Ovis aries: one gene and its partners. The protein of the gene in region 1 interacts with the protein of each later gene in a pairwise test. Links are inferred from orthologs where the notes say so. Each region holds a gene or a part of one and is shown on either strand. Other genes may lie near its edges.

Region 1 (4,175 bases):
TTAGTTGCTTAGTCATGTCTGACTCTTTGTGACCCATGGACTGTAGCCCACCAGGCTTCTCTGTCCATGGGATTCTCCAGGCAAGAATATTGGAGTGGGTTGCCATTGCCTTCTCTAGGGGATCTTCCAAACCCAGGTCTCCTGCATTGCAGGCAGATTCTTTACCATCTGAGCTACAGGGAAGACCCTCCCAGCCCTCACACCTTCGCTCATCTCTCTTCTCTGCCAGGAGTGTCACTCCGCCATCACCTCTGCCTTTTACTATTTTCTTAAATCTCTCCTTATCCTTGGAGGATTAGAACAGCTAAATCCCAATCCAGATTAACCTGCCCGCTCTCTGAGCCCAAAAACATTTTGTACAAAGAAGTCATCAGGTGGTACATGTACATCTCTCAGAGCAGGGACCAGATTTGCTCACTGCTATATTCCCAGAACAAGTAAAGATCTGAGCAAAGTAAATCCCACCCCCGCTCCATGCTTACCCCCGCTCCTCTTGGGAAATAACCATCGGCCTTTGCATGCGGTGTGACAGCAGCAGCAAGAGGCCAGGGAAGGGCTGAGTGCTTCCCCTGCTGTCGTCTGGGCCACACACTCTCCCACACAACATCTCACCTTCCTGAGGTCTCCAAAGCCCCATGAGGAGCCCTCTGTTGGCCTCAGGATCAGGTCTAGATTTGAGAACCAACTAGACCCTGTTTGCCTCACCTCCTACTATGTCCCACTCTGTCTCTAGCGTAATACACCCAGATCACACCTTCTCTGCTCCACTCTTCACCTGACATTCTTCACAGGGATTTTTCCACTTCTTGGAATGCTTGTCCCTAGTCCCTGACCTCCTTTCCCAGGGCTCTGCTTGGATGTCAACTGCTCGCCAAAGCCTTCATTGACACACAAGCAAAATCAGGAACCCTACTCCCTGTTCTCAAGACACTTGTGGTTTCTTTTATCAGGGCTGACCATCCAGCGGTATAATGCTCCATTATGGATCTGCCTCCATCTCTGGACTGGGAGCTCCTTAAAAGCAAGGCCAAGCATGGCTACCTCCCTTCCTGACTGTATCCAGTGTCCAGAACAGTCTAATACACATTGGGTGCATAACAATTATATTCCAAATGAATGAATGAGAATCTAAGATCCTTTAACACAGACGCTGACTCTCCCACTCAGTGGGACCTCAGCTTTGTCCCAGAGTCAAGAACTTTCCAGGCCCTTCTCTCACACTGAGCTTCCCCCAGATACTCACTCCTTCACCACACGAATACCCAGGGAACGGGCAGAGCCAATGATGGAGCGGACAACAGAGGACAGGGGCACATCCTGGAGGGCAAAGGCGTCATCCCGAGCTTTGACGCGGGCGATCTCATACACGTGCTTCAGTGTCACCAGGCCGGCCACCTCTTTCCCTGGAAGCAAAGCACAAGCAGCCCTTCAGGAGTCGCTGCTTCCTTCCAGGCCCCCGGAAGCCCAGATGCCCCGCCTGCCCCTTACCTGTGTTCCGGGCCCCCTTCTCAATCCCAGCAGCGGCCTTCAGGAAGTAGGAAACAGTGGGCTGGCCAATTTTTATTTCAAATGTTCTGTCGGGCTTAAGGGAAAAAAAGAGTTATGAGACTCTTCCTGCCTGCCCCAAGCCCTGCTGCCCCAGCCCAAGGAGCTACTGACTTCCTGCCCGCCCCACCTCAGCTCATCTTCCTATGTTGCCCCTTCAACTGACCATAAAACCACAGGAAAAATAAACTTCTAACAAATGTCCCTGTCACCTCTATTCCAGGTCCAACTCTGCTCTGGAAGCCCTGGCAAGTTGGAGGGACAAAAAAAAAAAAAGATCTACAACACGGTAGGGCGCACTCAGGAAAGATATGGTCTAGTCTCCACTGTGTAAAAGGGGAAAGGGGGCCCGGCATCAAGAAGAGATTCTGGACTTCCTTGGTGGTGTCCAGTGCTTAAGAATCTGCCTGTCAATGCAGGGGACACAGGTTCGATCCCTGGTCAGGGAAGATCCCAGATACCAACCTAAGCTTGTGGACCACAACTACTGAGCCTGTGCTCAACAACAGAAACCCGAGCACCGCAACTACAGACAGCCTGCAGGCAGCAACCAAGACCCAGCACAGCCAACAACGGCCTCAACTAAGACCCGGTGCAGCCAAGTAAACAAAACTATATATTTTTAAAAAACAGGTTTGCCCCAAGTGGGGAGCCAAGTAGCAACTCCAGGTGACCAGCTCCAGGCCTTGAGGAGAATAAGAAAATTGGGGATCAGAGTCCCGACTCCGCACCTTCACAAAAATCTTGGTAGGCAGAGGAATGCCTGCTTTGATGTCCTTGGTCTTCTCGTTGAACTCCTTACAAAACTGGTTGATGGAGACGCCTCGCTGTGAGGGAGGCATGGTGGTAAGCGTGGGGAGGAAGGGCCGGGTTCCTTCCACCCAGGAGGCTCCATCCCTTCTCTCCTCCGTCTTCACGTCTCTAAGTATACCCATCCTTTCCTCTCTACCCACATTCAACTACCATTTTATGTGCCAGATGATTCGTGTGCTCCATACCTCTCTGTCCTTTCAACAGCCCGCTGACGAAGGACGGAGGAAGCTGAGCCTCGAAGAAGTTGTATAACTAACCCAAGGCCATAAAGTATGTGGGCAGCAGAGCCGAGGTTTGAAACGAGGCCGCCCTGGCCCAGTCCGCACCCCTCACCCGCGTACTAGATCCAACCCTCCCGCGCCTCCCACGCCTGGCTTCTGCCGCGGCTGCACCTGACCCAGGATGGGGCCTAGAGGAGGCCCGGGCATGGCCTGGCCTGCCCGCAAGATGGCCCGGATCACGCCTTCGGCCTGGGGCTTCCTGAGAGCCCGAGTGGCCCGGCTTAGCTTCGACATGATGAGGAGTTCCCGGGCTGAGTTAACCTCAGATTTACACCAAGAGCGGAGCTCTGGGCGCCGCCATATTGGGTTAAAGGTTAAGGGTCCTCACGTAAGGGTGAGACAAATAAAGCTGACAAATAGCAGCGTTGACTCAATCCTTCCGCCCTCCAACTGGTAAGACAAGGATGAGATGAAGCGGAAAAAAACTTTTAACGTGCTATTTTAAGATTGAGGAAGGACTCGAATGGCTCAGATACACATATTCCTCCTGGAGAGCACACAGGCAAGACCTCAGACGGCCAAGCTGGGAAGGGGACCTTAATGCCCGCACTGCATTGTGGGTATGGTAGTTTTGTCCTACGATGCCGATCCCACAGATTGCGGTGTTTTGGAGCGCCCTCTGCTGGATTTGGTGATAATCCCTGGGTTTCAAAACAGCCTGGAGGCCTCAGGAAATCTCTTCACTTTCTAAGCCTGTTTTCCTCACTTGTTGCTGAAAGGGAATATGGTTAACAGCACGGACCTTGGAAACAAATCGCCTGCTTGCTTCTCTTGCTGGCTATGAACTTGATCAAGTTATTTAACGTACGCTCAGTATCCCCCTCTGTACGATGGGGATTATAATATATAGCACCTACACCTGGGATTGTTGTGAGCATTGAATGAGCAAAGTGCTTTAGTACACCTAGTCAGCAGGTGCACTTCACTGCACAATAAAGACAAAACCTTCAGAGAGCTGTTATGAGGCTTAAGAGGCCCAGAACATATTTGATACATCACCTGTGTCCAGTAAAATAAGCCATCACATCATGTTATTCTTTCTCTCTCTCTCTCTCTCTTTTTTTTTTTTTTAGCATTTGCTATGTGCCAGGCATGGTGCTAATTGCTTTAGGTCACTACTTACTACGTCCTCAGTTGTGTCTAATTCTTTGCAACCCCATGGACTATAGCCCTTGGGGTTCCTCTGTCCAGGGGATTTTCCAGCCAAGAATACTGGAATGAGTTGCTATTTCCTCCTCCAGGGGATCTTCCCCACCCAGGGCTCAAACCTGCATCTTCTGTAGCTCCTACATTGGCAGGCAGATTTTTTACCCCTGAGCTACCTGGAAAGCTTGTTAATTGCTTTAAGGGTATTATTATCTTATTTAATCCTCACAATGGCATGAGACAAATTGTTTTATTACACTCTACAAATGGGCACTTCCCTGGTGTCTCAGACGGTTAAAATCTTTACAAATGAGAAATTGAGGCACTAAAAGAGGCCCCAGAACATATAACTGGTATGTGACAAGACTGGGAAACAAGTGTCAGGATTAT
Region 2 (4,217 bases), on another chromosome or scaffold:
ATTCAAGCCTCAGCTATTTAAATGTTTTTATTGAGGCTCACTTTTCTTGCATGGTATTTATTACCAGACTGGCAAGCCTAACTTCTTAGGTTTACAGGAAGTATGCATATTTTTATAAAACAATTGTATGTCCTCCCCATATTTTTGCTGTGTTAATATTTGCCTCTAACAATTTGCAGCTGTTTCACCTTTTCCTCATTTGTCTCTCAGTCGAAGGCCTTGTTGGAGGGGACAGAGCACAGGAACAGCCTTGACAGTCTGTAATTATTGTACAAATATTTTAATAGCATATAAATAAGTATATTCCTTTTATTTTGAAAAAAAAATCAGACACTGCCTTCTGTGTGTTTGCTGCCTGTGGCACCCTTTTTTAAAAAGACTGTTACATATTAAAATAGTGTACATATATATAAATATTACCTCTTTTGCTGTACAGTTGTGATAGACCAGACGGAAGATTTTATTTTTTGTGTGCTTTTTATAAAAAAAAAAATTAACACACTAAAGAAAATCTTGCTGATGTGATTGTAATGTACCTATGTAACTTATTTACTTTTGAATGTTCTTCTGTATCTTTAAACCTTTTATTAAATAAGGTTTTAAAAATTCATAGTTGAATGCTGTGTCCTTTAGGGGAGATTTTCACCATCTAGGATTGACGTAAATTGGCCTTGGTTTGCTTGCAAGGAATTACTTGAAATTTTTGAGCCATAAGCATTCTGTTTTATCAGCCCTTTGTCAGTGATGCCAGGACAGGGGAAATAACACACTAGCGTTTGCCTGGCTACAAAGGTTACTTAATAGATCTAGATCTTACAAAATTTTAGAAGAAAAAGGCTCAACTCAGTGTCTGACAGGAGAACACTGCACACTTCCAGCGTTTTAGTCTTATTGGAATGAAGTTCGCGGAGGGTGCACAGTGCGATCGATCGGCTGGTACTGCATCTGTTTTTAAACAGCAAACTTTGGGAGTTAGTGATGGACCAGGAGACCTGGCGTGCTGCAGTCCATGGGGTCGCAAACAGTCGGACATGATTGAGCGACTGAACTGGACTGGTTGAAGGAGCGACGTGAGTTAAGTCTTTCTTGACAGACTCATATCATCTTCAATGCACTCCAGAATTATATTAAACTTTTAAACACAGTGCTTTGTTTAAAAAGGAAAAAAAATCTGGAAAATGAAAAAGGACATGCGCCATCAGAGGACGCTCCGCGGGCCCTTAGCTGGCACCATGGCAACCGCAGGCAGCCGGAGCGTCAGGGTCTGGAGTCTTCCAGGCCGCCGTTGCCTTGGCTACGCTCGCGCAGGATTCGGCTGCGGGGGCGGGGCGAAAGCCACTCGTCGGCCGGCCCCGCCCCTCGCTGCGGCAGTAACGCCTGGGCTGGCTGCGGGTCGGTCAGGCCGGCAGCCCCTCAACGCCGTTCGGGGTCAGCTCGCCGCAGCCCACGCGCAGCCGCTGCGGCCTGCCTTCGCCGGCGCCGCCTCTAGCCTCGCTCCCGCCTCCTTCCCGCGCCTCGGCTGCTGGTGCTCAGGGTATCCGACTGTCCTCGCCGCCCAGAGAGGTGTACCTGCGCCAGCGAAGAAGCCGCTCTTGGGCTGGCCTCGCTGCGACCTCTGGACAGTCTCCCCCTGCAGGGACGGCACAGTTCGCAGTCTGCAGAGGAGCGGCTCCTCGCGCGCCTGAAGGCCGAGCTCTGACCGCGGAAGCCGGGTTGATGCCAGGAGGGGCAGCAGCGAGTGGTCGGCTCCTGGGCTGCGGAGAACTGGCGGCCACGCCCCGGGATCACACCCCGGCGGCCTCTTCAGAGCGCGGCGTCTCCTGCCTTCTCCTCCTGCCTTCCCTCCGGGCCTCTGCGCGGAGACACGACACCCTGCCTGCAAGTGCGGGACCCGGCCCGCGGACGCCGACCGGAGACACGAGATGGCGTTGGGCGCGTGACTGAGCATCCCCCAAGTTTCGCTCCGAGGACGCGGAGGACGGACGTTGGTGGAGGCAGTGAAAGGACGAGAGCTGGACTCTGGTGTCGTTTGTTAATTGTGATTGCTTGAAGCTTGACTCCCTTGGGCAAATTGCAGGGGAGTGTCCGCTGTCGTCCTAAGTCCTTTAGCACAGGGAGCCACAGTCTTAACTTATCTAACCCCCTGATAACCCAACTATCAGGGGCTCTTGATAGTTGGGGAAAATGGCGATGACACTGTTGGAAGACTGGTGCAGAGGGATGGATGTGAATTCCCAGAGAGCCCTGCTGGTCTGGGGGATCCCGGTGAACTGCGATGAGGCTGAAATCGAAGAGACCCTCCAGGCTGCGATGCCCCAGGTGCACTATCGAGTGCTTGGGAGAATGTTCTGGAGGGAAGAGAATGCCAAAGCAGCCTTGTTAGAGCTCACTGGAACTGTGGATTACGCTGCCATCCCTAGGGAGATGCCGGGTAAAGGAGGGGTCTGGAAAGTAGTCTTTAAGCCTCCGACTTCCGACGCTGAATTTCTAGAAAGGTTGCATCTCTTCCTAGCCCGAGAGGGATGGACTGTGCAAGATGTTGCCCGTGTCCTTGGGTTTGAGAACCCCGCTCCGGCCCCAGGCCCAGATATGCCAGCAGAGATGCTAAACTATATTTTGGATAATGTTATTAAGCCTCTTATAGAATCCATATGGTACAAGAAGCTGACGTTGTTCTCGGGGAGGGACATCCCGGGGCCTGGGGAGGAGACATTTGAGCCCTGGCTGGAGCACGCTAATGAGGTCATTGAGGAGTGGCAGGTGTCTGATATAGAAAAGAGGCGGCGGTTGATGGAGAGTCTTCGAGGCCCTGCTGCTGATGTCATCCGCATCCTCAAGACCAACAACCCAGATATTACCACCGCCGAATGCCTGAAGGCGCTTGAGCAGGTGTTTGGAAGCGTGGAGAGCTCCAGGGATGTGCAGGTCAGATTTCTGAACACTTACCAGAACCCGGGAGAAAAATTATCTGCTTATGTCATTCGTCTGGAGCCTCTGCTGCAGAAAGTGGTGGAGAAGGGAGCCATAGATAAAGATAACGTGAACCAAGCCCGCCTGGAACAAGTCATTGCCGGGGCCAACCACAGCGGGGCCATCCGAAGGCAGCTATGGCTGACTGGGGCTGCGGAAGGGCCGGCCCCTAACCTCTTCCAGTTGCTTGTGCAGATCCGTGAGGAGGAGGCCAAGGAAGAGGAGGAGGCGGCTGAAGCCGCCCTCTTGCAGTTAGGCCTGGAGGGGCACTTCTGAGTCCCGAGAAAACTGACTTTAGTGCAGACCTAGATCACAGCTGCTTTTCGTGTCTCTGTGCTGTCCTGCAGGTATGTCACCTAGTGGTAAAGACTTAGCGTGGTTTTTCTGGGGTAAGTCAGGCCTGCATATTCACGTTAACATTGGTAAAAGCTTGCAAGCCAGCACCAGAGCTGCTGCAGTATGAGTCATGTCAGCCACAATGCCAGGGAGAGACTTGGACAGTGCAAATTGTCAGTGCTGCAAGCTGTCATGGCGTCATCATCATCAGTTGTGAAAACCATGGGAACTCGTGACACTTCCCAGAGGTAACTGAATGTGAAATTGCATGTTCAGAAGTTTTTAGTGCACGGCCTGGCTCACACAAGAAGTGTTGAGTAAAAATGTGAACTGTTGTTATTACTACTATTGTGAGTAGTTTTTGTGTTTACTGTAAATTGTTTCTGATTTATATTAATGGAAAGAAATGTGAATTAGATATTATTCAACTTTACAGTGCAAATTTCTCATTTTTCATCTTTAAACATCTAGATCAGTTTGAGACGTGTTCTGAGGCTGCAAAAGGAGTTGTTAGAAATACTGCACTTAGAGTTGTGTAAATCAAGTTTTCACTGAACAAGATACGAATAGAACAGGGAGGTTAATATGAACCAGCTCAGTATCTATTCCCCCATTTCAAATCTTTATCATTGAAGAAGTTTACCTTGTTCATGCTGGTTCTAAGTGTTCTAAATTTGAAGTTATCAAGCACATGTTTATTAATAAAAATATTTTAAAAATTCTGTTGTCTTGTTTTTCTGACATGTATGAAAACTTTCAGTGTAATTAAGCTCTATGATCTTCTTCGGAAGACTTCGCCATGTCACTGAAAAAAACCCCAAACCTCAGTTCTTTTACTTTAAGCTTTATATCATACTATGTAATTTAAAGTTTCAGTACCTTTCAATATATTCAATTTTTGCATGTTTTCT
Region 3 (3,683 bases), on another chromosome or scaffold:
TTCTGCCTTGAAAAATATCTATGCTTGTTTATACTGCTTGTTTCATGTGTAAGAATTTTTAGGGAGCTTGTAAAATATTCTTGTAAGTCAGGGATTGAGGCAAAGGGAAAGTAAGGTCTAAAAGTCATCCATGTGGTGAATATACAAAATATGAGTGTAAACTCATGTTTATCTTTGTGAGCGTGTTCTCAAGTGTTAATTAAATGAGCTTGTGTTTTTAAATGCAAATGCTTATAGTATTTGGTCTGTAGGAAAAGAGCCAAGAATTGAAATTTTAATTTTAGCTAGCTAAAATAGCAATTTTTAAAAATAATTTTTAATTAATATTTCCCTAAATGTGTGGAATTTTGAACCATTTATGGCACTTTAATTGTATAGTTCTGTGGAGGGAAAATTAAAAATCCCTTTAGTTCTAATCACATTTCTTTCTTGCCTTGTTTTTGTTCTGTTTTGGCTGCTTCGGGTCATTAGAGTGTTTTCCTCGTTAGTACACCTGTTGGTGGATAAGTTAAAATTTTTATTAGCTTATTAACTTTTAGAATGGATTAGAGAGACATAGTGAGTACATGAACAACATGAAAATTTAAATTAACTCTAGGCTTTCATCTGTCCTAGTGTCTTTTTTTTCACCTTATGTTAAAGATGACACAATAACAAAAATAAATGCTAGAGTATATAAAAGTATATTTAATTGTATAATGTTTGGGGTAGTTGATGTTTTAGACTTAATAAATGTATTGTAAGTTTTGTATACTGTTAAATGTTTAGATTCAACTGCTGTGGAAATAGGATCCTGCCTTTCATTTCTATATGGTATTAATAGAAGTACTGAGAAAGGTGTTATATTGACTTAAGACTTACTGAATAGTATGAAGGATTAGAAAAATGGCTTAACATCTTTTCTCAAAGAATGTGGCTTTCCTATATATCTTATATAATAAATATATAAAGAACAATTTTTGTGGCATTTTAGAATATTTTTAGCTAGCAGTTTTTTTCTTTATTGAATGTGAACTTGATTCTAGCCAAACTATAGTGAAATTCTCATCTAATGTTTATATTGTTCCTTCTTTGTTTACTTAGTGTATGAATAGATGGTTTTGAATAATTGTTTTGAATTAGATATTTCTGCTTTAGGATTCCATTTATTTCACAGTATACTGACCTTCAAGTCAGGAAGCTAATATACTGAGCAAAGTAATTTTTAGTAATCTTATTTTCTGCCTTGTTACAGCTGAGACAGATTTTGACAATCTAACTAAGGGACAAGTCTCTGAAATGACCAAAGAAATTGCTGACAAAACAGAAAAATATAATAAATGTAAACAACTCTTGCAGGTAAGCTAATTCCCTTGTAAGGAAGAGATATATCAAATGTAATGGCTTATCTTATCTTTTTTGTTTTGATTGGGTATCCCAGAGTTTGTTTCTTTCTCTTGTTTTTTTTAAGGGGGGTTGCGGGAGGTGGCTCTAGGACACACGGGCTTCAGTAGTTGCAGCACATAAGCTCTGCAGTTGCAGCGCATGGGCTTAGTTGTTCTGAGAGCTTCCTGCACCGGGGATCAAACTGGTGTCTCCTGCATTTGCAGGTGGATTCTGTACCACTGAGCCACTAGGGAAGCCCTCAAAGTTTCTTTACCCTTGTATCCTGATGTTTAGTTTCACTTTTGAAGTGGGGGGTGTTCTGTGTACTTATCCATGTAGGCATGTGTGTAAAATCATGATCTAGGGAATTCCCTGGTGGTCCAGTGGATTAGGTCTTGGTGCTTTCACTGCTGTGGGCATGGGTTCGATCTGTGGTTGAGGTACTAAGATCCTGCAAATGTTACATTGTTGGGGGGCGGGAAATCGTGATTGTTTTCTGTTCCCCTAATATCCTTCTCTTGATAATGGGTAAAGGATTAATTGATGTTGGATGTTGTCTGTCTTCTAAGGATACATGAAAAGTCTCTGAACTGTGTAAAAAGAAAGTAGTCTTTTTTCCTATATGTACTGTAATAATAGCAAAGACTTTCACCACATCCTAAAGTGAGTAGATTTGTAAAGTGGAAAAAGGGAATGTTAGCCAAGTGAATGGTTGCCTTTACTATTATTTATTTTGATTCTATTAAACTGTAATAGTAAAACATTTAAATTTTGCAGTTGTCCTAGCAGCATTCACTCTGGGGTATATAAAGGACAAAGGGAAAATGCTTCTCATTTGTATCTGATTGGGGGAAGGGAGGAAAAGGTGTTTTGTGTAGTATGTGGTTTTCGTTTGTTCAGTTAAATATTTTTTTCTGTGTTTGTTTCTCTGTACATGTGGAGAGGCAAGGGGTAATTTTTAAAGCCGTGGAATGAAGTTTATATATTAGCCCAACGTTACTATAGTAATTGGGCTTCCCGGGTAGTAGTAAAGAACCCACCTACCAGTGCAGGAGATAAAAGAGACACAGTTCAGTCCATGGGTCAGGAAGATTTCCTGAAGGGGAGGACTTGGCAACCCACTCCAGTATTCTTGCCTGGAGAATCCCATGGACAGAGGAGCCTGGTGGGCTACAATCCATAGGGTCACAAAGGGTCAGACAGGACTGAAATGACTTAACACACTATAGTAACTAATGTAAAATATTTTATGTTATAGTCTTAATAATAGTTTAATCCTTTAATAAGACTTTAAGCTGAGTATTTTTGTTGCTTCAGAAGATCCTTTTATAGAGGATTGATTATCCTTGAGGTCAAAATAGTTGTTTATGAGGGACTAAACTATTTTTCAGTAAGTGAGACAATTTTGGATGAATATTTTAAAAAACCTCATTGTATTATCAAAAGGAAGATAGAATGTGTTTTTTCCAGCTGAAAACTTCTGTGTTGTAGTACAACTGAAATTCAGTAAACTGCACATGTTTAAGGTCTGCAGTTTGTTTAGTTTTGCTGTATTTATAGCTGTGGAGCTATCACAATGTCATGCTAATGGACATTTCCACTACCTTCAAATCTTTTTTGTACCCTTTTGCAACTCATTGCTCCCTCTCTCCCCTTTTCCTGGGAAATCATTGGCTTGCTTTCTGCCGCTGTAGATTAGCCTACCTTTTGTACAGTTTCTATAAATGGAATCATATGTACACTCTTCTTTTCCTGTCCCCTTTCATCACAGTTATTTTGAGATTTATTTATATAGTTGCCTATTATTGGTAGTTCATTCCTTTTTATTATGAGAGTTCATTTTTTTGCCATTTAAAAAATTGTTTTCATCTTATTATTGAGTTGTGTTCTTTATTCCAGATACAAATCCTTTGTCTGATATGTGTGATTTTATCCCAGTCTGTGGCTTGCCTTTTTATTTCCTTAATGATGTTTTTGTAGAAGGAAATGGCAACCTACTCCAGTACTCTTGCCTGGAAAATTCCATGGGTGGAGGAGCCTGGTAGGCTACAGTCCATGGGGTCTCAAAGAGTTGGACATGACTGGGTGACATCACTTTCTTTCTTTCTGTAGTTCCTTTTGGAGAAGGAAATGGCAACCCACTCCAGGGTTCTTGCCTGGAGAATCCCATGAACAGAGGGGCCTGGTGGGCTACACAGTCTGTGGGGTTGCAAAGAGTCGGACATGACTAAGCAACTAACACACACACAATGGTGTTTTTAGAAAAAGTTTTAGTTTTGCTGAAGTATAGATTCTTAATTTATTCTTTATGTATTGTT
Region 4 (3,683 bases), on another chromosome or scaffold:
CTCCTGTCTCTTTTAAGCTTTGTTGTCATTGTATAGTTGCTCAGTCGTGTCTGACTCTTTGCAGCCCCCATGGACTGTAGCGCACCAGGCTTCCCTGTCCTTCATTATTCTTCAGAGTTTGCTCAAACTCGTGTCCATTGAGTCAGTGACACCATCCAACCATCTCATTCTCTGTCGCCCCCTTCTCCTCCCGCCCTCAATCTTTCCCAGCATCAGAGTCTTCTTCCAATGAGTCAGCTCTTGGCATCAGGTGGCCAGAGTATTGGAGCTTCAGGAAGTCCATCCTCCTGCAGAAAGCAAACCTTTCCTTACAGATTGTTTAAAGTGAAACTACAACTGAGCTGCTCAGCTGAAATTATTTTCTTAATGCGACGAGTTGAGCGGAGTGAAATAACCATCTACTGCAGCAACCTTCTCAGAAATGGGGTTTTGTGTTCTAGGACCCAGGAGAGCCACTAAGGACTGTCCACGAAGAGTCCTCCTTATGCAGAGGCGCTGCCTGGAGCTGTGATGGAGGAGGGAGCTGGGGAGGCACCGGGGCTGGGCAGGTCTGCTGCTTCTAAGGATTTCCGCTTCTATCACATGGATCTGTACGACTCTGAAGACAGACTGCAGATCTTCCCAGAAGAGAGTGCTCAGATGAGAAGAGAAGGTGTCCACGCTGAAATGACCCATGAGCCCATGAGAGGGGGTGTGAAAGGGAAGGCTCTGGGAGACCTTGGAGAGGAAGTGGATGAACTTGTCCATCCCTATGGACTTGAAGATGATCACGAATTAGGGGATGAGTTTATTGAGGAAAACACACCCAGAATAGAGGTTTCAGAATATCCTTCTTATATGATGATGGGGAGTGAGCAGAGAGACTGGAGACTTACTGGTGAGACGGCTCAGGGTGAGGACCTGGGCTTCATGGGGTGGGGCTCAGCAGGCCAGTGCCAGGACTTGCGGGAAGCCTATAAGTACAGCCACGGCCGTGCCAGCGAGGAGTACGAGTGCTACGTCATCCCAGAGGAGGAGGACGAGGAAGAAGCGGCTGACATCTTCTGTGTCACTTGCAAAACTCCAGTAAGAGCATCAGAGAAGGATCAGGATGAACACAAGCAGCATGAGGTGACTCCGCTCAGTAAAGCCCTGGAGAGCGCCAAGGTAAGTAGGCCTGCTTAGGTCTTCTTTCTGTTGAGATTGTATTTGTATCTCAAGTATGTAGGCGGGGAATGAATCTAAAATGCCTTCTACGAGAGAGAAAAAACATAGTGTTAATGTCTTCTTGGGATTTGACAGGATGAAATTCACAAAAATATGTACAAGTTGGAAAAGCAAATTATTGAGATGGAAAACTTTGCAAGTCACTTAGAAGAGGTTTTCATCACGGTGGAGGTAAGAGCACGCTCAATGACTCCGTCAGATACAGGCAGCCATGAGTGGTGAGTCAGCAGCTGTGTCTGGTATGAATTAGGGAAGCTATTTCTTGGAATGTATGATGTTGATGCAGCTCCTGTTCCCTCACCCCTCTGTCTACCTTCCCATAGCACAGGGGCATAAACCTGTGGAACCAACTACCTGGCAGCATTCCCTCCCGAACCTTAGCCCTCATGGGCTGGGTCTTCAGTATCTTTACGTCTCCACTCACACTATAAGTTAGGACTCTTTCATGGGCCAGCCAAAAAGACATTGCAAGACACCCATCCTGTCACTGATGTGTTCTTTTCCTTAGATGTTACCTGTTTCTCACACCACCAGTAAGTTTCTGTGCCTGTCACCAAACATGTCACAGTTCCCTGGGTGTGCCTCGTAGGTATATCATCTACTGCTGGACGCCAGCACACAACCTAGCCATTGGGATGAGGTAGCCCACGAATGCGACCAGAGGACTTCCTCTGTCCCCTCCCTTCATGTGGGTGCTCTACCTCTTAATGCAGCTCAGATTGCATCAGTGGGAGCATCTTGTGTGAATGAACTAAGCCCTGGGCTCCTTTCCCATGAAGCTAGACTTTCCTCCCCACCCCCAGTCTTGAAAGGGAGGGGAGCTGTTGCGCTAATCTCCTATGGAAGACGCAGGGAAGGGACCAGCCCTTCCACATCCAAGCACTGGGTGGTGGGTGATAGGAGGGTGAGCGCACAGCAGCCAGGAAAAAGCGCCCTGCACTCCGTGCTGCCCGCTGCGCTCAGTTCACAGTGTCTCCACCCTCTGCAAGGACCCTGGCCTCTTCCTTGGCACTCAGCACTGGTGGGGGTCGTCTACCGCTTCTCCCTCTCTTCAAGCATTCTAAGCAAGTCTTACATATGCAGTCAATACTCAGTAAACACTCCCCGAACCCGCAGAGCTCTCCAGGGTTTCCAGTCCAAGTGGGACCAGGAGTTGATAAAGTTTAATTAATATTTCCCATCCATTGTATTCCAGGATTAAATACTGGCACAGCCAGTATCTCTCTGTCTTCCTGCTTTTTCTGATCTATTAGACGGCCCCACCTGGGTTATTCCCCCCCCCCCCCCTGCATCTTTTTCTTGGTTGTTATGAGGATCTGTGTGATCCTGATGTTTGTATAATTCAACCATCAAGGAGTGGAGGTGAATGTCATGAGATATTGAGAGCTCAAGAGGGAAAGCAAGTTAGGTAGGACTCTTCCAGGGCAGACGTCTTCACGTTAAGGTCCAGAGTTCCAGTGGCAGGCTGACTCATTATGGTAATGATAATCATAATAATCTTCCAAGTCAGTTGTCATGGTGATGGGAGGTGGCTACACCAGAGGTGGGTGGGGTATGGGGAAGAGGATTGTAAAATGCCACCAGCAAAGAAAGCAATACTTCTTGTTAAGATTATCCCTGGGGTTCTAGCTGGAGACTCCTGGTCCTAATTCCACCTTTGTCCACCTCAGCCTCCTGGCAAGAGACAATAAGATTAACAGGGAGGGACCAAAACATCTCTGAGTAGATGCATTTTCATGCCCCAGATGACTCTTCAGTCAACATAAATGCACTGAAATGACAGCTGAAATCGACTGTATCTTGCAGGAGAATTTTGGAAGACAAGAACAAAACTTTGAGTCTCATTACAATGAGATCTTGGAAACACTTGCTCAAAAATATGAAGAAAAAATACAAGCTTTAGGGGAGAAAAAAAAAGAGAAACTGGAAGCTTTATATGGACAACTGGTCAGCTGTGGAGAAAATCTTGACACCTGCAAAGAACTGATGGAAACAATAGAGGAGATGTGTCATGAAGAGAAGGTTGATTTCATAAAGGTCAGTAATGAAGTGAAATGAAATAATGAGCTGGAATGACAGTCATGGCCAGAGTAGGTTAGGTTGTCCCCTCTCTGCCTGAAGGGGTTGGAACCGACTTTCATGGTCCGCATCCATCTGGTTCCACTGGATGTGTAACCATGACAACACATCCCCCATCTCACTGCCCAGCTTCACTGGGTAGCCAAGCAGGCTCGCACACAGCTGACCCTCCCCTCTACCACCGCTCAGCTAACGCCAGAGTCTGTGTTCCTCTGCCCTGGTTACCCAGAGATAGGTGCTCTCACCGTGGAGTGGGGCAAAAACAGGACTCTGAGACTTCTCTGGCCATCTCAGATGATCTCTCAGAGGTCAGGGGAGAAAGATGTCCAGGCTAGAAAGGCACCTCCTGTTTCTCAGTTACAAGTGCCACCGCTAGACATCTTAATTCATAAGCTCAG
Region 5 (2,984 bases), on another chromosome or scaffold:
AATGAAAGCAACCTGTTTCCTTGTCAGCTGGTACCTGCACCTGCCTTATTCCCTGTCTAGCAGTCTTCACCTCACACTGGACTGCTTTATTCCTTGTGCTACCTTTTCCTCACGTCTAAACTGTCGCCACGACCTTAAAAAAATAGGGCACGAATAAGGTTGAGTGGGTGTCGAGCGTTGGATCATCAAGTATTCTCCAGCTTAGATGTAGTGGTGTTCCTGGTGGGCCACAACTTCCAAATGGTGGTTTTAAGTACCTACCCATGCAGGCACTTCCTCACAGCCACTCAGCTGTGTCTTGAGATGAACCTGTTGGGTAGCAGCAATCAAAATTCACCCGGCAGCAATCAAAAAGGATTTATATCTAAATTATAGATTCTCTAAAGCAGTCATTTTGATACTTTTTTAAAAAGCAGCAAAATCTTTTCTGGAATTATATCCAACTCCCCAAATATAAAAAGTACAAAATCAGATACCCTGGTTTCCCCCATTAGAATTAGGACTCTGCAATAACAGATTGGATACAGTAATTTAAAATATTCCATCTTTGCCTCACTTCCCCTGTTGCCTAGGAGGAGCATTACTTTTCAGAATCATCCCATGATGCTGAAGCAATGATAAAAACTCTAATTTATTGAGCCTTTAGTATAGGCATAATGTCAGTTGCATTTTTTTAGTCATAACCTTGCAGGTAGATGCTGTTATCACCTTTTATTCTGATGGGAAACTAAGGCTTCAGCAAGCACTCTCGGGAGTGGTGAAGCTGTGATTCATCTCAGATTTGTCTCACCCTAGACCTCTACCTCTAACAGCTCTAGGCCCCGCCTATACAACACCTAGCACACAGTAGGTGCTCTGTAAAAACATATGTAACTTTACATACGCTCAACATTATCTTCAGTTTTTACACATGAGGAAACTGAGGCGCCTGTAAGTTCAGACAGAACTGGGATTCAAACTTCCTATGTAATGCTGGCCTTAATCACATTCATATCCACTATGCCATGCTGCCTCCACTTACCCTCTGAAGGTTCTCAAACTGTATTGCATTCAAGGTCTGCATGGCCTTCAGTTTGTTAAGATTTTCTTGTTAAAAGGGAATGGTGACATGCATTAGAATGCTGCCAAATTTTTCTGTTCATCATATAAAATTTCCGATATTACACTGCTCTATCTGTAACTTTTACATAGGCATGCTGTCCTCTCCGTAATGTGTTACAGGGACTATTTGTAAACTCAGATGGGAGTCCTTGAAAAGTAAAGGGTGACAGATAATGTTAGTCTCTAATGCCCACACAGGGAACATTTAACAGGGAATTGAGTTAAAACTCCATCACCAGGAAGTCCCTGGTGGCCCAGTGGTTAGTACTCAGCACTTCCAATGCAGGGGCATGGGCTCAATCCCTGGTTGAGGAACTAAGATCCCCACAAGCCACGTGGCAAAAAAAAAAAAAAGTCAAACTGGGGCCCAGAATTATTCTGGGAAATAGCTTGGGCAGGTTTCCAGGAATAAAGCACAGTCAGAGGCTTTCTCTGCAGTCCCCACACCCATGTTGAGCCTGGGAGCCCTGGTGCCACTGGGTAGCTTGCAGGACCTGGTTACAGTTTATAATGAGCCTGCCCACCTGGTTCCAAGAAGAAAGCTGGACTGAAGAGATAAGAGCTGCAGGCCTCCCGCCCTGTGTGGAGGCGGCTGTTAAGGTCTGAGGGAGCTCTCTAGGCTTCCTGGAGAGAGACAGCAGTTGGAAGAGACAAAGGCTGGGAAAAAGGGGAATAACCTTTGTTCTGCGGAAGTCTTGGGGAAGGAAACATTCACCTCCCTCTACCCTCTCCGGATCAAAACCAAGGGGAACTCCATTCATCCCAGATCATTGACCCATCTCATCCTAATGAGACTTAGAAAAAAATTAAACTCAGTCACCTTCCCGCAACACTCCACCACCAAGAAAAGAAGAAAAGAAAAGGGAGCTGGGTAGAGGGACAGTGCTGTTCTACCTTCTGTACCTTCTAGATTCTCACACTTTGTATTCCTAATCTTCCACATTTTAGAGATAATCTAGAGATAACTCAAGAAATAGTCTGTTAGGAGCTAAAGTGTTCTGAGATTACATACATCTCTTTGGGTTTTCTAGGTGAATCTTCATTCTGTCACTCTTGTTGCATGAACTTAGAGGGTGAAGTGAATTTGAAGGGGAAAGATAAAGGCTCTAAGGATGTTTTCCTTTTTTTTAACCTCAGAAGTCAGATAATCATCTTGGTGACAACACTCACTATTTTTGTGACTTGGAATAATTTAACTTCTCTGGACTTTGGTTTTTTCATACCTATAGGGGGAATTATAGCAGGCTCTGATGATTTATAAGGTTATGAAAATTAAATGAGAAATTGTTAAACACTTTAAAAGCAATCCAGTACAGTACACATAGAAAATTGTTTTTGGAGCCCAACGTTTTGTTTGGTAGAAATTGAGCAATGGCCTGAAAGGGGAACCCCAGTGATCGAGCTGTTTCTCTTCTTATTACAGCTATCTCTGAAGGGCACAAATCAGAAAGCACCATGCCTCCTAATAAAGAGGCCAGCAGCCTTAATAGCTCCCCTGCGGGCCTCATCTGCCTCCCTCCAATCTCTGAGGAACTACAGCTTGTGTGGACCCAAGCAGCCCAGACCAGTGAGCTGGACAGCAATGAACACTTGCTCCAAACCTTCAGCTACTTCCCCTACCCCAGTTTAGCAGACATTGCCCTTCTTTGCCTGCGCTATGGGCTGCAGATGGAGAAAGTCAAGACTTGGTTCATGGCCCAGCGCCTTCGCTGTGGCATTAGCTGGTCATCTGAAGAAATTGAAGAGACTCGAGCCCGAGTAGTCTACCATCGGGACCAACTCCATTTCAAATCCCTTCTCTCTTTTACTCATCATGCAGGGCGGCCCCCAGAGGAAGTGCCTCCTTCTCCTGTGCCACCTCCGGAACAAGTTGGTCTTGGAAT
Region 6 (4,281 bases), on another chromosome or scaffold:
CATCTCAGTTAAAGGCACTGCCATCCATCTTACGTGCTCAAGCCAGAAACTCAAGCTCGTGTCTGCCTGCGTGCACAGCTGTGTCTGACTCTGCCATCCCATGGACTCTATAATCAGCCAGGCTCCTCTGCCTATGAATTTTCTAGACAGGAACAATGGGATGCGTTGCTATTTTCTACTCCACCTTGATTCTTCTCTTCCTCCTTTCCATCTAGCAGCAGGCCCTGGCGTTTCTACCTCTCACATACTCAGACCCTGCCACCACCTTAGACCAAAGGAACCATTCTCTTCCTTGCCTCTTAATTGGTCCGCTCACTTTCTGTTACCCCTTTCTGATACACAGTCACAATGACCTTTTAAATATGTTTATCACATCTCCCTGAGGCCTAAAATGACTCCGTGGCTTCCCACTGAGCTACCATCCAGACCAACTTAGGAGCCTTCCCCTCACTTCATGCCCTTCTCCCCTGGCTCACTGGGCTCTACCCACAGCCTCCATTCCGTTCCCAGAAAAGACAGAACTCTACTGCCTGATCGCCTTAGTTGGCACCCATTCCCTTTTTCCCATTCTTTGGTTAAATGTTCCCTTCTCAGACATTAGGCTGTGACCCTCTCCTCTACCCTCATTAGCCTTACAGCATTCTAATGTATTCAGATTCAGGCATCTTGGCACAATGTGATTTTATTTACCTTTTTATTGTCTGTCTTCCCCTTACTAGAACAGCTGCTCTATGAAGATGTGCCAGCCTTGCTCACCGATTAAAAAAAAAGAGAGAGAGCCATGAGATGACAACAGTTAGCCATCAGCACCGACGAAAGGGGCAAGCCGAGGAGGGAAAACGTCCCTCAGACGGGTTTTCCCAACAGCACCTGGGGATCGTTAGGATTATTACAGCCGCCAAGGACTTAGTCTCGGCCTCCCAGGAAGACTGGGCCTGGCGTGTGTGCGGGTGTCCGCTTTTGCTGTTGCGACCTCTTCCCCGAGCTCCTCAGAGTTCCGAATACCTAAAGAGGCAGGTACCGGGAAGGAGAGGAGCCCAGCACGTTCTACAAATCACTCCAACTGGGGCTCCCCTTTTAAAGAGACGAACCCAATTACCCGACCACCTCAGCTTTGCACCTGTCCTGCTTCAGGTTGGGCCAGCGGACCCAACAGAATCACCTAATTCTCCAACCTCAGCCGCACGGGATACGTAAGCCAGGGAAGCATCGAAGAAGGCGGGACTGGTCCTGCGCTCCTGCCCCTCTCCTCCCACCTAGTTCCTTCTTCCTTCCGGAGACTCGGGGGCCCCGCCCACTTCCGCAACGCCGGCCTCAGCCAATGGCCTGCGTCCCAGGGAACGTTACCTCTGACCTTAGGGCTAATCAGAAACAGTAGGACGAACTCCTCGCGAGAGGTGAGGTTGAAGCTGCCTCCGCCATCTTGGAGATGGGAGACGGGCGATGGCTGTGGTCTTTCCGCTAATGCAAACAACAAAACGGGCACATTAGTGACTCCCGAGTGAGGCCCTCATCAGTCTGACTGTTGGCCAAAGCTACAGAAGAAGTGAGGGTGTCAAAGCAGAGCGCAGCGACACTGATAACAGCCTCAACTGCCCGCTGGGGCGGCAGAAGTGAGGTAACTGAGGACCGGAAGGATGGTACAGTCCTGTTCCGCCTACGGCTGCAAGAATCGATACGACAAGGATAAACCCGTTTCTTTTCACAAGTAAGGACCCCGCGTAGCTCGCGGGGATGGGCCCTAGTGGGACCGCGGGGGGCGCGCGGCCGCGCTCGGGGGGCGGAGCCAGGCGTTTTTCCGCGCAAGACCTGTGAGAGGGGCGGGGCCGGGCGCGGGCCTGCGCGAGACCCAGTGCTAAGGCCGCGCTCGGGGAGCGGAGCCAGGCGCGTTTCCGCGCGAGACCGGTGAGAGGGGCGGGGCCGGGCGGGGGCGTGCGCAAGACCCGGTACGAAGGGCGCGCTCGGGGGCGGAGCCAGGCGCGTTTCCACGCGAGACCTGTAAGAGGGGCGGGGCCGGGCGCGGTCCTGCACGAGACCCAGTGCGAAGGCCGCGCTCGGGGGCGGAGCCAGGCGCGTTTCCGCGCGAGACCGGTGAGAGGGGCGGGGCCGGACAGTGGGCGTGTCTCCAAGCCGCCGCCTCAAGCTAGAGTTGCGCGTCCCCGGGGCTGCTCGCCCTCGCGCTCAGGCTGGCGCGCTTCTCTGGGTGGCGGGTTCGAAGCTCGCGGGCGCTGTGTGGAGTCCCCGCTGGTTGTGAAGGTGCCACACCCGGGCCGCGGAGAAGGCAGGTGGTAATAACTCTTAGAAGGGAAGTTGAAGCAGAAGCGAAGTCCCGCCTTTCCCACCCTGCTGGTCCGGCATCGGTGAGGTGAGGACTCACCTTGCGGTGTCAGGGAGCACGTCTTGGACTTAGCTTCTGGGACCCCACCGTTAAGGACGGCTGAGCTCCGGAGAAAGCCTCAGGGACTGCCAAGATGTGCAGTGTAGCCCGGGCGGTGACAGTGCGTCTTGCGTGGTGAGGGGGGCCCTCAGGGTCAGGGTTAGCGCGACCCCGCCCTCGGGGCTGCTTCTCCTGGACGCTGCTGCGGCCAGAGCCTAAGAAGAAAGAAGCCTCACTGAAAAGAGCCGCGCAACGGAATAATGATGATCTGATGTCCGCACGATGCCATTTTCAATCGGCCAAATTCAACATTTACAAATTCCGTTAGGTTTAAAGTGTCTTGCAAAAATTTCCCACTGTAAATGGGTGATAGCTAACGGAGAATCGGTGGTAGAGTATACAAATTGTTTGTAGGTGGTTGTTAAGTTGCTAAGTAGTGTCTCACTCTTTGCGACCCCGTGGACCGTAGTGCGCCAGGCTTCCCTGTCCTTCCCTGCCTCCCGGAGTTTGCTCAAACTGATGGCCTTTGAGTGGGTGATGCCAATCAACCATCTTATCCGCTGTCGCCCCCTTCTATTGCCCGCAGTCTTTCCCAGTATCAGGATCTTTTCCAGTCAGCTCTTCACATCATGTGAGCAAAGTATTGGAGCTTCAGCTTCAGTACCTTCCAGTGAATATTGAGGGTTGATTTCCTTTACTATTGATTGGTTTGATATCCTAGTCCAAGGGACTCTCAAGAGTCTTCTCCAACACCACAGTTCAAAGGCATCAATTCTTCAGCGCTCATCCTTCTTTATGGTCCAACTCTCACATCCACAAGACTGCTACAAAAACCATAGGTTTGACTAGACGGACCTTTGTCGGCAAAGGGATGTCTCTGCCTTTTTATATATTGTCTAGGTTTTGTCATGGCTTTTTTTCCAGGGAGCAAGCATCTATTTTTTCACACCTTTTAATTTCATGGCTGCAGTCACCATCCACAGTGATTTTGGAGCCCAAGAAAATAAAATCTGCCACGATTTCCTTTTTTTTTTTTTTGCGTCTTCTATTTGCCATGAAGTGATGGGACCAGATGCCATGATCTTAGTTTTTGAATGCTGTTTTAAATTAGCTTTTTCACTCTCCTCTTTCACCTTCCTCAAGAGGCTTTTTAGTTTCTCTTCACATTCTGCCATTAGGGTGGTATTATCTGCATTATCTGAGGTTGATATTTCTCCTGGCAGTCTTGATCGCAGCTTGTGATTCATCCAGCCTGACATTTCACATGATGTATTCTGTATATAAGTCAAATAAGCAGGGTGACAGTATAACTCCTTTTCCAGTTTTGAACCAGTCAGTTGTTCCATGTCCAGCTCTAACTGTTGCTTCTTGACCTGCATACAGGTTTCTCTGGCGGCAGGAAAGTCTGGTGGTCTGGTATTCCCATCTCTTTGAAAATTTTCCACAGTTTGTTGTGATCCACACATCCACACATTTATAGGTAAATAATTACTAAAGCAAAATCTTAAATTTGGGGGGAATAAGGACCTTCCATGTTTAACAGTGAATGTGGGTGCATTTTTATACATTTGGTATGAGAACAAAAATCAGAGTGTGTAGGGTATAGAGAGATCTTGAGAATGTTGATTTTTTTTCCCCCTTCTAAGAAACAGAACACTTAACACTTCTAATGTTGCCTCTTGATTGATTAGAATTTCTGAAAGCTAATGGGGGAACTCCAGCAGTTCCAATGTGAAGGAACAGATCTGGAGATGGTGACGTGATCACAGACTTTCAGCTCCCCCCCCCCCCAGCCCCATTTCTAACGATGTGGCTGAGGGAATACAGACATAAGGAAAACCCTTCACTGGCACTGGTTAAGGATGACGTTCACACGTTTCAGAAATACGGAGTTTCTCCTGCGG
Region 7 (4,424 bases), on another chromosome or scaffold:
TGTACAGAGTATAGCCAGGTGTCACTCTCCGATCAGATCTTTGAGCACACAAGCAGAGCGCATGCAACCTCTCCTTTCCCTTTTTCCTTTTGCAAAGCGAAAGGTACTAGACTTGTTCACATGATGCGAGTGACGTCAGCCCCTACTAGGTCGCGTGACCGACATCTAACCTTCCCACTACCCCGCCCCCGCCGCCACAGCAAGAAATCTCGCGAGAAACCGCCTTACTATCAGAACTTCGGGAGGTTACCGGGGAGTTACTCAGGAGGGAAGGTGTGGCTCGGCTGCGGAGTGCTCGCTTTCGTTCTGTTCACGTTCATGGCCCAAGCAGAGGCTTTTGGGGATTGCCAGAGTCTGAGCAACCCAGTCTAGAAAACGGCGGCGGAGGTGGAGAGTGAGGCGGCCGTCATATCAGAAGTGAAACGTGGCGGGGCGGGCGTCGCCCCTCGCCGAAGAGGCCGCGGGGGAGGGAGGAACCCCGCGCAGAGCGCCCGGGAGCGGGCGCAGTGGCTTCTGCCGGGGCGGGCGCACCATCATCGGGGCTTGGGGGAGGCAGGGACCCGTCTCTGGAAGCAGCGTTTTGCCCACATCCGGCCCCCACTGTGTCAACACCGACTCAAGCCGAGACGAAGCGCCTGCACCTCTGGCCCTACCGGGGCACCGCGGCTCGGGGGGCGGTCCCTGGTGCCCGGCGTCCACACCCAGGCTGGGGGCCCCCGCGACCCCCGGCCGCAGTTTCCGCAGTCCACGAGTTACCCCGCTTCTTCCCGCTAAATCGGCCCCACGTTCCGGCAGAAGCCTAATTGCGGGTTTAACTGTAATTTTCTTGTCTCGCCTCCTTCACCTACACCCTCTCCAGGCGTCTCCCCCGCACATCCTCCTCCACCCACCTGGTCTCTCCCTAGACGGGCGTGCGCGCGTGTGAGACCCGGGGAGGGAGGGAAGGGAAGGAGGAATCCGCGGAGGGACAGGGTGAGAGTCGCTAGCGGGAGGGATAGGATCGGCACCAGGGGGCTTCGGGAGGGAGGGGGCACTGGCAGGCGGAGGGAGCGGCGGGAGGAGGCGCTGGGGCGGAGGCGGAGGCCCGGGGACGGCGGACGAGGCTTCGCCCGAGCGGAGCGCTGTCTTTCGCCGCGCAGTCTCGGAGCCGCCGCGGGCTCGTGTGGAGCGCGAGGCCGCCGAGGTGCGGGCGGGAGGGAGGCCGGCTCCGGCGCGCCCCGCGCCCGCGCCCGCTGACAGCTGCAGCTGGGCTCGCGCCGTCCGCTCCCGGCTCCGCGGCCTCCGCCCCCTCGGGCTCCCTCCCCTCCGCCTCTACCCCTCCTGCCCCGGTGCGGATCGTTTCGCAACTGCTCGCCTCTCGCCCCGTGCCCGGCTGTTTTCCATCTCCCGGCCCCTCTTCTTGAGTACTTTGCGCCTGCATCTGGGGAGAGGGTCTAGAAAGGGGTCGGAGGGAGCGTCGGGAGAAGAAGGAAGCGAGGCCCGGAGGAGGAGGAGGATCGGCGGACAGCAGGGAGGAGACCCCACGCCACCCTCTCTGGTCATCTCCCCTCCCGCCCCGCCCCTGCGCACACTCCCTCGCCGGCGAGCTACTTTCGGACGAGGAAAGTGAGGGCGGCCCTGGGTGACAGCGCCGCGGGGCGAGTCCCGGGGAAGCCGCGCGTCTGCTTTCGTCTGGTCCGCCGCGCTCCCAGCCAGGGGGACAGCCCGGACCGAGGATGGCTTCGACTACAACCTGCACCAGGTTCACGGACGAGTATCAGCTTTTCGAGGAGCTCGGAAAGTAAGCGCCTTTGCCGGGTACTCGCACGTCCCCTTTCCAGCAGAGGGCGGGTCGTGTTACCCCCGACCCACGGGCCTCCCGCGTGGGGCGAGCGAGTTGGGAGACGGGAGGAGAGGGAGGAGGGCCCCCGGTGTGTCGGCTCGGAGGAAGGTGTTGTCTTAGTAAGAGGAGGGGACGACTAAGGGGAAAGACCTTCCACCCCGGCTGTGGCCCTTTCTGATAATCCTTAGCCCACCTTCTCCCGCTCCCCCACCCTCCTGCACTAGAGACTTAGTGGATTTACGATCCCTGCAGTTGTAGCTGTCATCCTGAGAAGTGTGCGAGCGCGCGCGCGCGTGCGCGTGTGTGTATGAAGAGGAAACAAGAACCCATGTAAAATGCAACATAGATCACGTTTTCTGTAAATAGAGATGCCGCCGGGTTCGCCGGCGAGTCAGCCATACGACCCACGTTCAGATGAGAACTCACTGCCCCAGACGGTGCCATATTTATTGATGCCGAAAGTTCAACTTGGCGTAGAGTCTGTTTCGCATCCAGTAGTTGTTCTGTCCGGGAAAAGAGCCTCCCAAACGAACTCGACCCCCTGTCCCATATCCACTATTATTCCTTGCACTAGATTGCTCGCTTATCATCACCCTTCCTAGGATTTACATGAACATCTTCGAGTTCTCTGGGAGGATTTATTTACACAGGCAGTGGAAAAGCCCTCTGGAGACTGGGAGAGTGCTTCCCAGGGGTAACCTAACGTTGTATGTTGTTTGAAAACGACCTTCTACACCTGACCGACAGGACTACTTGGCAATGTTAAGGAAGGAGACAGGAGACCTACTGAGAACCTGTGCAAAAGAACCTAGGGGCCGAGCCGTGAACGTTAATTTATGTAGCATCAAACCCAACCCCAGTTCCACTATCGCTAATGTCGAACATTACTCAAGAAAGGTGCATTTATGTGTATGTTGTTGTTTTCTACAGTTGAGTTAAAGGACGTGTAAATATCTTTTAAATGTAATGAAGATCACATCCTCATATATTTATGTTGTCTGCTGTGAAAACATGGAGAATATGTCGGAAGAGCAGCTTAATTCAAATCTCTCCCCTCCCCCAGTCCAAAACAGGGCAGAGAGAAATCACCACAGCAGGATTTGTTAAACCACACACAAATATTCCTAAGATTTATTTTAATGAAAGCAATCGCCATATTTACTTACTTGGAGCCACATTAATTTTTTTTTCCTACCAGAATAAATAGGCAGCAGATTTTTGCTGCTCCTCTTCAGCTCTTTGCAGGATTTTTTCTCAGAGCATTTGGTGCTGAGTGTGAATTGTAAAATGTTTTCAAATTTCATGTGCAAACAAGAGTCGTCATTATTGGCAGTTCCTTTCATTTTGTTGATTAATAATGTGTGCTCCCAGTTAAGTAAAATTTATTTTTGTTCTTCAACGTTAAAGAAGGCCTGAGTTTCCAGGAAGGATTGTTCGTTTTCTAGTTATTACTATATGGTGCACTGATATTTGACAGTTCACTAAATTCAATAAAAATACTCAGATGTAAGTTTTTAATAGAATATCAAGCTGATTATACTGATGACCTGCTAATTATTGGTTTTCAGGGGGGCATTCTCAGTGGTGAGAAGATGTATGAAAATCCCTACTGGACAAGAATATGCTGCCAAAATTATCAACACCAAAAAGCTTTCTGCTAGGGGTGGGTATTTTCAACCACATATATGTTAATTGTGCATTTGTCCTGTTGGTTATTGGTTCTGTTGTATGTTGGTTGTGTTCTATGTAAATAAGTCATTTAGTTATAATTGTAGCTGTAGGTATCATATTACCTTTTGAGATTATTTCCTTCCTGAGTGCTTCTTGGTTTGTGCAGTTTAAAAATGTGACAAAATACAATTGTTACTTGATAAATTGTTATTAAAATCTTACCTTTTCCGTGGGTAATAACATAACTAACTACATTTTAAAGCAAATACATGTCACTAAGTGCAATTTGCCTTTAGCTCCACTGTGAAATAACTTTCAGAAAAACCCTGGAATGGAAAAATGTAAGTCTCACAACTGTCATTATTCCCTTTTGCTTTTGAGAGGAAAAATAGGTCATAACTCAGTTAAATCATATATTTCAATTGTAGTTACACTTGAACTTAATTCATTAAGGTATATTTAACAGTAATGGCTTTGGGAGGAACATTTTATGGTTGCTATATTCCAGGAAATTCAGCTTGATTTTGATGTTTCTGAGTGCAGTTTAGACCTTTACTTGATCATCTGCAGTAAGACTTCTCACTCATGTAATGTATTTTACACATGCTTTATAACTGCAAAGATAATTCATACTCATAAAATAGCTGTTGACATAAGCAAAAAACTTGGAGGGGTCTCATTGCATTCTTTTTATTTTGTTGAACTCATGCAAAAGTACTTATACCAAAAGGTTCGGCATTCCAATTATTGTGAGCACGTGTCTAAGGTATTAATATTTTCATGGGAATTTATGGTTTGATGAAATTAAAATGAAGAAAATGCCATAGTGTAAGCCCCTTTCAGTGACCTGATTTAAGTAATGAGAAAAGAAATCCCATCAGGGTTGCTTTTCCTTCTTTAATTTGCTTCCTAGTATCTGGTATCATTGTAT

Evidence for each region.
Region 2: the proteins of MRPL11 (region 1) and PNMA1 interact in binary tests that used the Homo sapiens proteins (3 or more experiments, as listed by UniProt). The two-hybrid records come from large-scale screens. The link is inferred for Ovis aries from reciprocal best matches to the Homo sapiens genes MRPL11 and PNMA1.
Region 3: the proteins of MRPL11 (region 1) and TAX1BP1 interact in binary tests that used the Homo sapiens proteins (3 or more experiments, as listed by UniProt). The two-hybrid records come from large-scale screens. The link is inferred for Ovis aries from reciprocal best matches to the Homo sapiens genes MRPL11 and TAX1BP1.
Region 4: the proteins of MRPL11 (region 1) and FSD2 interact in binary tests that used the Homo sapiens proteins (3 or more experiments, as listed by UniProt). The two-hybrid records come from large-scale screens. The link is inferred for Ovis aries from reciprocal best matches to the Homo sapiens genes MRPL11 and FSD2.
Region 5: the proteins of MRPL11 (region 1) and HOMEZ interact in binary tests that used the Homo sapiens proteins (3 or more experiments, as listed by UniProt). The two-hybrid records come from large-scale screens. The link is inferred for Ovis aries from reciprocal best matches to the Homo sapiens genes MRPL11 and HOMEZ.
Region 6: the proteins of MRPL11 (region 1) and THAP1 interact in binary tests that used the Homo sapiens proteins (3 or more experiments, as listed by UniProt). The two-hybrid records come from large-scale screens. The link is inferred for Ovis aries from reciprocal best matches to the Homo sapiens genes MRPL11 and THAP1.
Region 7: the proteins of MRPL11 (region 1) and CAMK2D interact in binary tests that used the Homo sapiens proteins (3 or more experiments, as listed by UniProt). The two-hybrid records come from large-scale screens. The link is inferred for Ovis aries from reciprocal best matches to the Homo sapiens genes MRPL11 and CAMK2D.

The regions. Positions count from the first base shown.
Region 1 is NC_056074.1:40,911,055-40,915,229, forward strand, and holds the start of MRPL11 (large ribosomal subunit protein uL11m), read right to left. Parts: upstream 2,949-4,175; 5' UTR 2,874-2,948; coding exon 2,751-2,873; intron 2,373-2,750; coding exon 2,277-2,372; intron 1,583-2,276; coding exon 1,489-1,582; intron 1,404-1,488; coding exon 1,244-1,403; intron 1-1,243.
Region 2 is NC_056060.1:83,213,364-83,217,580, reverse strand, and holds PNMA1 (paraneoplastic antigen Ma1), read left to right. Parts: upstream 1-1,369; 5' UTR 1,370-2,184; coding exon 2,185-3,246; 3' UTR 3,247-4,028; downstream 4,029-4,217.
Region 3 is NC_056057.1:69,918,642-69,922,324, reverse strand, and holds part of TAX1BP1 (tax1-binding protein 1), read left to right. Parts: intron 1-1,234; coding exon 1,235-1,338; intron 1,339-3,683.
Region 4 is NC_056071.1:22,376,330-22,380,012, reverse strand, and holds part of FSD2 (fibronectin type III and SPRY domain-containing protein 2), read left to right. Parts: intron 1-440; 5' UTR 441-510; coding exon 511-1,146; intron 1,147-1,281; coding exon 1,282-1,377; intron 1,378-3,012; coding exon 3,013-3,243; intron 3,244-3,683.
Region 5 is NC_056060.1:21,432,165-21,435,148, forward strand, and holds part of HOMEZ (homeobox and leucine zipper protein Homez), read left to right. Parts: intron 1-2,524; coding exon 2,525-2,984. UniProt on the Homo sapiens protein: May function as a transcriptional regulator.
Region 6 is NC_056079.1:36,888,483-36,892,763, reverse strand, and holds the start of THAP1 (THAP domain-containing protein 1), read left to right. Parts: upstream 1-1,411; 5' UTR 1,412-1,637; coding exon 1,638-1,708; intron 1,709-4,281. UniProt on the Homo sapiens protein: DNA-binding transcription regulator that regulates endothelial cell proliferation and G1/S cell-cycle progression.
Region 7 is NC_056059.1:12,176,314-12,180,737, forward strand, and holds the start of CAMK2D (calcium/calmodulin-dependent protein kinase type II subunit delta), read left to right. Parts: upstream 1-1,598; 5' UTR 1,599-1,715; coding exon 1,716-1,780; intron 1,781-3,390; coding exon 3,391-3,485; intron 3,486-4,424. UniProt on the Homo sapiens protein: Calcium/calmodulin-dependent protein kinase involved in the regulation of Ca(2+) homeostatis and excitation-contraction coupling (ECC) in heart by targeting ion channels, transporters and accessory proteins involved in Ca(2+) influx into the myocyte, Ca(2+) release from the sarcoplasmic reticulum (SR), SR Ca(2+) uptake and Na(+) and K(+) channel transport.